2 linked regions of the Arabidopsis thaliana genome follow. The protein of the gene in region 1 interacts with the protein of each later gene in a pairwise test. Each region holds a gene or a part of one and is shown on either strand. Other genes may lie near its edges.

Region 1 (3,711 bases):
TAAGGAAAAAATAAACTAGAGAAAGCAAAAGAGACGAAATTGATACAGCATTTACAAAACTCAGCTAAGAGATTCACGCATGTCGCATGCATGATAAGGAACATAGAGAAATCCAAAATATTTTCTTAAAGAAGAAGTGAGTAAAGGCATTGAAGCACGAAATGCCCAGAGAATAGAGAAAATCATTACTAGGGATTTCAATGAGAAAACAGAGAATAGAAGAAATCTGGAGCTTACGTTAGAGAGGGAAGGAAAGGGAAGACGGCGATGACCCAACGCTTGATGAAGAGTGGAGTATAGAGAGACAGTGAGGAGGATCCGAAGAAAATTTCTATGCCAATAAAACAAGAGTTAGGGAATAAAAAAAGCAATAAAGATGAAGAGGACTTGGAAATTGGAATTAATTTAAGAACAAAAAAAAAATGAATTAGGATTCAGAAAAAATAAATGCGCCAATAGAAGGAGAGTTAGGAAAAAGCAATATTAAAGATAACGACTAAAAACACATTGATGAAAGAAAAAGAAAAAGAAAAAAAATCATGTTTGACTCATGTTTGACCAAAATTCATTTTGGTCTTGGTCTTGGACATCATAATCTTTTCAATTTTGTTGGTTTTCAAATTTTGATGTGATGTTTCAAGCAGGCCAAATGTTTCTCTCCTTGATCTTCACAATGAATGAGCAAATGGCGAAAACGAATATTTGATATTGAGCCTAAACACTGAACTAATTCAAAATTTCAGATTTCATGAATCATATACTTTAGCAGCAATAATCTGAGTACAGTTTTATTCAAAACTGATTTACTTGAATCAACAATACTCTCATAAACTGTTTGTTGCATGTTTTCATTTCAACAAGTAAAATCAAAGGAGACTGATTACCAAAATTTTGTGATGATCAAACTTTTGATAAAAATTGCGAGATTATCCGTGGATACAACACTGACAAGCTTCAACGGAATATTTTCTACTGTGAATCGAATCGGCAGCAATAAGAAAGAAGATTCAAATCGGAAGGATGGGTCGGGTACGTGATCTTCGAGATTTCCAGAGGAGGAGAACCAAAGCAGCTATCACAACTCCAATGGCGTCCGCGACGGCGTCTCTAACGGAAGCACCTGCGGAAGGGAAGATACCAATTTGATCGGCAGCTTCTTTAGCCGCACCGGCGGCGAGTGAGAAAGCAGATCCGATCCAGATGGAGTGACGGCGTAGAAAGGAGTAGCGGGAGAAAGAGGCGAGAGTAGAGAAGATAAGAGAGATTGAGAAGCAGAATATTACATGGTATAGTTTGTCTCGAGCTAGCCAAGGATCTTCTCCATCGCCGCCATGAAATTGCGTCTCCATCTAGTGTTCTTACTGGAAGGCTAAAAACGGTTTTCCGCGTTACAAAGATTAGGAAACCTTTTAAAGTAATAAACTCAGAGAGATTAGAGTAAAGAGAGAATGATAACGCACTTGGAATTTTTTGAACTTATTAGACAAAAACAAAATACAAGTGAAAACTGAAAAAGGAAATAGTCTTTCAAAACTTTGAAAACAAGTTAATCGGGAACAAAAGCAGTGCACAAACAGAAACCAAATCAAGAAGTGAAAGGATATAGTCAAACAGAGAGTGTCAAATCAAGCAAGAATGAGGGAGATAGAAAAGCAGTACATCTGCGATCTGCGATAGCTTCATTCTCCAAAACTAGTACATAAGCCAGAAACCATCAGCTAGCACCGGAGCACCGTCCTCCCATTATTCATTGGCATGTCGCGGAAACTCAGTGGCAGCTTCCGGTAGCTTAAGGCAGCTTCGTACATCAAATTGTCTCAGGTTTGGAAGAGCCGGGGGATTCCAGCAGATTCTCTTTAACTCATCCAAACCCCTTACTTCAAGGAATTCCAGCTTCCCAAACGGAACAACGATATTTGGATGCACATTGGTAATACTCATTCCTTTCTCCTTGTTTATTATCTCTTCTATGGTTAATGACAGCGTCACAGATAGACGCCTGAGGTTTTGAGCAAACAACAGCCATGTTAAATCCCTTGGACCTTCCAAATTGAATATTTCAACAACAGAGAGGTGCTTAAAGCCAGGAGAACTTGTACATTTAAGCTCCCCTCTTCCTTTTCTTTCCCAATCTATCTTTATCTCTGAGATTTTGGAGCCCACGATTTCAAGGTGTTGAAGACCACCCAGAGCTACCGTGTTCAATATTATAACCGGTGCTGACATATTTCTGAGACATAAAGCTTGAATACTACTCACCAATCGGTCCACTCCTTGTATACTTTCCAAAATCAAGGCGTCCTTTATAGTTGCTGTTAAAACCTTCAAGTGCTCCAAGAGTAGTAACTCTTCCATTAAACTGCCATCAATACAAACACGAGAAGAAAACAATTTCAACACTTGCAGGTTTGGTAGGCTTGTAGCTATCCCAACAATACTTTCAAGTTCATCAGTAAACTCCAGATTCAAATGGATTAATTTCTTCAACTCCTTAAAACTAACTGGCAACCATTTTATCCCTGTTGTTGATAAGTTGATATATTGCAAGGAACCTAACTTAGAAATTGCTTCCGGCAAGCTAGAGAGACTCGAGTTCCTCGAAAGATCCAAGACCACGAGTGCTGGCATAAACCTAAAAAAGTCACATGATATATGCACCAACTTGTTATTCTGGAGTAATAGAGTTGAGAGGTTGGGAGAGTTGGAACTAGAAGATATATTTGCAATCTGATTGCACATCAAAGACATCCTTCTCAAACTTTCCCAATTGATGTCCTTTGGTATATGGCATAACTGCACACCGGGTTTCACACAAAGTGTTTCTTTCTGTTTTCCAAAGTTCGACGCTATCCAAAGAGCCATCTCGCGTATGACATCATGCATTTTCACTTTTGTTGTTAGTTCACCATCCATCAATAGATGTGCACGAACTAACGAGCCAATTATGTCATGACCTTTGTTGTTAGCTCCATCTTCATCTTCATTCCCATCTATAAATCCTTCACACATCCAATATTCTATCAACTCTTCCTTTCTTACTTCATAATCTTCCGGAAACAGGGAACAATAAAGGAAGCACAATTTGACTTTTTCATCTTTTAAATCATCATAACTGAACTTCAAAACAGGAAGAATTTTTTCTTCCATACTTGGGAACTCGTGGCTAGACGAGTTCAGAACATGAATCACATGCTGCCATTCCTGAACAGTCTCTCTAGATGCCATAGCTTTGCCAATGACACTGAGTGCAAGTGGCAAGCCACAACATTTTTCTGCTACTTTTCTTGCAAGTGTGGGAATATCCTCATGGCTCTGTAATGGGATTGGTCCAACTTTCTTTTGGAACAGTTCCCAGGCTTCATCCGGTGGCAAACAATCAACTTTCATCTCACCATCAACTTCCATATCTCTGCAAACATCTTTAGAACGAGTGGTGAAAACTATTTTGGATCCATTTTCTCGCGTTAGAGGTGGAACTCCAATCTTTTCTAAATCTACTTCGCTCCATAGATCATCCAATAACAGCACAAATTTCTTTACGTTGAGGATGTTGCATATGTAAGAGGCTTTCTCCTTTTCTGTAACTTGTTTCCATCCCCTGTGAAGACCTAGTCTTCCTAAAATCTGTTCTTGAATGCCTTCATTTTGCAAATCTTTAGAAACCACAACCCATATAACAAGATCAAATCCATTCATCCCTTCAAGGAATTT
Region 2 (5,853 bases), on another chromosome or scaffold:
AAATCTTAATATAAAAAATAACTAGAATCTATAATAATGTTAATTAGCGAGATAGCTTTGGTCGTTTAAAATCTCATGTGTACAGTCTCAAAAGCTTATAACAAAATATTAGAATCTAAAAATGTTAATTAGCATTTTGGGAGATTTATTGCGGATCAAGCAAGTCGCTAGAATCGGCTCAGAGACGGAAACCGAATAGTCAACTCGAACCCATTGATAGTGTCACAAAAAAAAGGTCTTGTATTCGCCGTGCTAGTGGATCAGTTTTGCTGGTTCCGGCCACCACCCATGTCCAACCTCAACCTCCTTAACAGCGTTGGCAATTTTTTCTCAGTTTAGTAAATATAGATTGTCGTACTGTCAAGGTCTTAAGCGCATTTCGAGAAATTTTATTCATAAAATTAAGTTTTTTCATTGAATGAACAAAAAATGAGACTAGCGTAAGTGAGAAATATGCCAAGTGTTGTTACTATACTCTCAAAGGTTGATCGATTACCATCATGAATATTGATATCATGGACAACTCGGACCTGACAAAACACATGATCAAGATAATTTTTCAAAAAACATTGTAGTCAAGGACACACCAACAATATTTACATTGATTTTCTGTTTTCTTTCTCTGTTCAGTGCGGTATTTGGCATGTATCTTAATGCGACCTACTTTGTAGATTATATAATCAAAATCTTATTCCATTCATTTCATGTGATACACGACTACACGTCCTGGATTCCACCAAGACAAGGCTCACGGGTCCAATGCTTAGAAGCGAGCGATGGAAGCTTTTAGATGAGAAGTATTTGATTCTACAAACAACCTAGAACTCGCAAGAACAGATTTGATTCAAGATACAAAGTATTGAAGCAAGAAACAAACTGAATTTCAATTGATCAAAGCGTGAATACAAAGTAGAGAATCAAAGAGCTTAAATTGAAAAGTACAACAATGGTCTAAAACTTAGAAAAGGAAACCGAATAATGCGAAATAAAGAGAGGAGCGTGATGATTCTAGCCGTTAGGCTATAATGGAGGATCTTCGGTGATGGCGTCGAGAGCTAAGTTAAAGTCGCAGCTTCTAAACGTCGTGTAGTCTTTTCATGAGGGTGAATATAATCAGCAGAAAGTCTTCAAGTACATCAGGGGGCTCTTCGGTTTGGTTTGACTCAATTTGACCGTACGGTGCAAATTGGTGGTTCTTGAGTCTTCTTCCAAATCAGCTCGTTACAGGGGCGATTTGCATCGATCAAAATCCTCTTCATGGTCGATTTTTGAGTGAATTCTTTGGCGGAACTCAAGTTATTAAGCTTCATCTCCACTGAACAATAGTCGTATCGGACATGATGGATTTCATAATGCTATCGGCATACTTATTAAGCTTATTCCGCGGCTGGTAACGACATGTTCGAGAACTATGCACTATCAAACACATGAATGTTATGATCTTTAGTGATGGTTGTTTTGTACAGCAGAAACAGAAAACAAAATCCGCGTCTCAAGGAGAACTTATCCCAATCTACTTCGCTGAAATCCGAAGATTTTCCTTTCTCGAAAACGCGTTAAAAATATAGTTAAATCTCTCATAATGCAATTTTAAGGCCAGAATGTCCTAGCGAAACAGGATCAAAACTTTGGCTAAAGAGTAAATAACAAGTTTCTTTAGAAAAAATAAACTACAAGATCATTCACATACATTAAGCTTTTAGAATGATGTATAGCAACAAGAGAAACAAACAGTTATAGAACAAAACATGAGGAACAAAAAAAACACCAATCATGATTCACCTTTGAAAACTTTATTTTACATGTACCTTTTTGTTAGAACCATGATCATGTTTCAGTAGATTTTGGCTCATTCTCAGTCGGATGTGACACAGCTTCATGATGTAGTATCTGCTCCTCTATCGGCTGCATCTCAGCTTTCTTCTTCTTCTCTTTCTGGATCACTTGCCGTGGCATTACCTCTAGTAAAAAGCTCCCTCCGTTCCACACAGCCGCAGAAATCTTTAGGATCTGAAAGATCACATGAAGTCTATAAGATAGGAAGATCGGTACGGTCAATGCCATGGTTGCCACCGTGAAGATGGCCTGGAATAGGATGTACATCCATATACGATTCTGATCCCCTAGCAGACCGCTCAGCTGCCACAACTTATTGTTTGCCTTTTCAGCTTTCTTCGACAGCTCTCTGCACATACCAAAGGATTCCATCAATACAAGTGTTCACTCTATGGTAAGAACACATTACATTATGCTGTGACCTTAGCGATCAATATGAGGAGAACATTAACATACGGCGTAGACAAGAGATACCTGTAAGAAGTCATAACTTCAGGATCTCTAAGGAGTCTCTGCCTACGCAGGACATTGACGATTAGAAAATAGAGCACTTGCCAAAGAGTATAAACGACTAAGGGGACGAGAAACAGCCATGTGAATAGGTAAGCTTTGTCTTCAACATAAGGCCATGAAACCCTACGATCAGTGCCTACAGGGTGCATAGCTGCAAAAGTCGCTGGATTCCACCACCTAATCGTGAAAAACACGAGCCCTGAAACCAAAATTCATTACAATAATAAAGAAACAATGGAGAGAGAGAGCATAAAGCTTAACTATATCTATCATATGCATTACAACAAGGAACCATGTGTTTGAATTAAAAACGGTTGAGAGGGGAACAACAAGCTAAGAATTCATACAACTACTTTAATCAAAGCCGTCAACTTTAGCAATATGAATCAATAACATATCTTCTTCTGTCAACAAGAAGATTATAGAACTCACCAGGTAAGAGATGTATAAGAACACTAACAATCTTATCCGGCGAACTAAAAACCAGACTGCAACGCCAGACAATAATCGCCCACGCCAATGGTCCCTGCAGCACAAGACACAACCAATAAAATAAATCAGCACACACAATGACACAAAAGACTCATATACATACATGTAGTTAAAAAGCATACCTCAGCAAAGGAAAAGCAAACCATGAAAAGCTTTTCATTCTTAGGATACAGAAGAAGATCAACCAAGAAGATTGTATTGGCATAGTAGCAAAAGTCCTATCACATACACAAAAATTGTTTCAATAACAATCAAAACGACTGTTTCTTAATTCCAAATCCTCAAAAGAGACATTACCAGAAGATAATAATGCCATTTCTTAAACCGGTAATATATCCATCGAAGAGGAACAAAGATCACATAGAAGAAACAGTAAACTAAAGGAATGTCTTGAGGTCCTGAAAACGAAAACATCATCAACATCAACAACATTGAATTAAGAACAAAACACAAAAAAAACAAAAAAAAAACACAATTTCTTTGAACTCACTTGCACCAAGTAGGAAACAAAAACCTCCAAATCCAAGCACACCAACGAGATGTGTCACCTTTAAAACATTACAGAACCAAACATTTTCAAACCAAAGTAACTTAAAATCAAAACATGATTGAAGAATCAAGAGAGAAACCTAACCTTATTGATGAATCTCTCATGTTCTTCGGCTTGTTTAGCGATCTTAACGGCTTGTTTCGATAAGATCTCACGCGTTTGTACCGCTTGTTTAGACAACAACTCTCTCGTCTGAACAACTTTCTGTCAAAATCAAAAACAATTGGTCCACAAAGTCAAAATCAACAAAATTGGAACAAAAGAGAAACATCAAAAATGGTGAAAATCGAATCTGATGTTGTACCTTTGATCGATCTTTGAAACGTTGTTTAACAGCATCAAACGAGTCTAGTCCATTGGAGTTTGAATCTTCGTTATTCGCCATTATTGCGGTCAGATTTCTCTGTAGATGCTTTTGTCGTTTTTAAAGGAGAATCCGAAAACACTGAATTTTTCTGTTTTCAGGATATTTTACTTTATGCGGAATTAAAAATTTGGTGAAGGAAAATGACCCAAAAATCATTATTAAACTCTTTATATTCGTTACTATTTTTGTTCAGTTTTATAAAGTGGTGATTAATTACATGTAATCCAATAATTACATTCATAATTAAGTAATAAGGACTTTATGTTTTATCTTGGGAAATCAGATGGAATATTAGTCCTCAAAGTAAATTAATTCCATTAATTGCCTTTGGTGATTATATAATTTAAAGACTTTAATAAGAGAGACTGAGAAGGAGCCACGTGTCGAAAGTTGAAACTTCTAGGACCCTCTTTTGCGCGGGTCGAGAAATTTCCTAGCGTACACGTATTTTTCTACATTATTATAGTTAGAGGAACATTTTGTTTAATTGCATCTTGTATTAAAGAAAAAAAGTAAAAAAAGAATGCTGTGGTATAACTTCTTTACTAGGTGCCGACAAAAAAAAAAAACTTCTTAACTAGGTTTTATGAGTTCAAAACTAGAGTTTCTTGACAAGGTTTCACATGTTCCAGAAGCTTTAGTTTTGTTTTTGGATGAAGTTTGAAAGATTCAAAAGCAGTGTTGTAAAAAGCGGTCTAGACGGTCGTTTATATGCCGCTAAGCGTTCAGTTGACGCCTAAATAATCATCTCGACTGCCTAAAATAACATAAATTTCGTTTTAGTATATTTTTTTTATTTTTAACTAATATTGCTTAAATTTTATAAGTTTTACTTCTACACATGGTTATAAACATTCATATATTGTTGATATAAATTAAAGAAACATTTTTATCTAATTTTTGATTAGGATCCGATTAATATTTTCTAATATATAGTTTTATATGATTTTTATCTATAATATCATATTTAAAATGTTTTATGTCATAAACGGATAAACCACCTAAAATCACTTAAACCCCGACTAAGCGTTCTAAACGCTAGGCGTTGGGTCATCGCCCGTTTATCGCCTAACACTTTTTTGAACATTGTTCAAAAGTAAACAAATATACTAAAGCCATAGAATAAGGGGGTCTGTCTGAAGTTGAAACAAGATTTAAAAACAAAAGTACAAAAACTGGTGTTTTGTTCTGACAATCTTATGTTGTTCCTGAACAAGAAATCGACTAATCCCTCAACGACCCAAGTCTAAGTCACGAGTGCAAATATCACACAGTACTGATAAAAGAAATTAAAATGAAACAAAAAACTTGTACAAAATGAGATTGTTTTGTTTATTGTACATCAGTTTTGCTCGTCTTGGTTCAACCATGACTTCACTATGCGTACACAGTAAAAGAGGTGCAAAACTAACAAAACTTAAGCCTAAATGTGATAAAAAACAAATCTAACCAGATTTGATGTAAATAAAGCTTACAAAAGCTAGCTAACTGTGTTAAATCACAAACGAGAAAACAAAACAAATTCGTATAAACATAAATATCCAATTTTTACAATGAACTACAAAAAAAACAAGGTTCGTTTCTCAATTTTATGAAAGAGTTCTCAAGCACGTTCCATGCATCCACACCGAAAACAAACATCAATAAAAAGCATATAGTTCTGAGCCACAACATAACGATGCACTGAAAGCGAGAGCTCCAACGTAATCAGTAGTACTTCAGAATCTGTATTCCAGAGATTTATCAGTAGATGACTCTTGTGAAGCAGCCTCTATCTCTCCCAATATAAGAGAATTTGACTAGCTTCTTGTTCTTTCCTGCATCTATTTAAAAGATGATCGATTTTAGAACAATGTATAAAAGTTGAGACTGTCCACATGACTTTGAAAAGTGAACATTATTATACCGTTTATTTTTTACCTGCTACTGGTTATTCTCTTTGTTCGTCGTCACAGTTGAAAAATTGAACATCGGGAATGTGTTGGACTTTGTAGTAATCTTCTCCAACCAATTTCTCCTTCCACTCCCTCTTCATTCCTTCAATCTTCAGTTCCTTTAAGGATGTTACATACTTGAGTCCGTCAGGAAGTTCCTC

What was found. The genes of interacting proteins can lie anywhere in the genome.
Region 2: the proteins of AT1G15900 (region 1) and AT5G35460 interact in a protein complementation assay, tested with the Arabidopsis thaliana proteins (one large-scale study listed by BioGRID).

What each region holds. Positions count from the first base shown.
Region 1 is NC_003070.9:5,461,994-5,465,704, reverse strand, and holds AT1G15900 (uncharacterized protein), read right to left. Parts: upstream 1,433-3,711; 5' UTR 1,350-1,432; coding exon 1,008-1,349; 3' UTR 758-1,007; downstream 1-757. Other genes in the region: AT1G15890 (Disease resistance protein (CC-NBS-LRR class) family), read right to left, coding at 1,744-3,711.
Region 2 is NC_003076.8:13,670,521-13,676,373, reverse strand, and holds AT5G35460 (uncharacterized protein), read right to left. Parts: upstream 3,886-5,853; 5' UTR 3,777-3,885; coding exon 3,696-3,776; intron 3,596-3,695; coding exon 3,476-3,595; intron 3,390-3,475; coding exon 3,332-3,389; intron 3,240-3,331; coding exon 3,139-3,239; intron 3,060-3,138; coding exon 2,964-3,059; intron 2,876-2,963; coding exon 2,782-2,875; intron 2,549-2,781; coding exon 2,311-2,548; intron 2,186-2,310; coding exon 1,828-2,185; 3' UTR 871-1,827; downstream 1-870. Other genes in the region: AT5G35450 (Disease resistance protein (CC-NBS-LRR class) family), read right to left, coding at 5,689-5,853. UniProt on the Arabidopsis thaliana protein: Glycerophosphocholine acyltransferase (GPCAT) that utilizes acyl-CoA to acylate glycero-3-phosphocholine (GPC), forming lysophosphatidylcholine (LPC).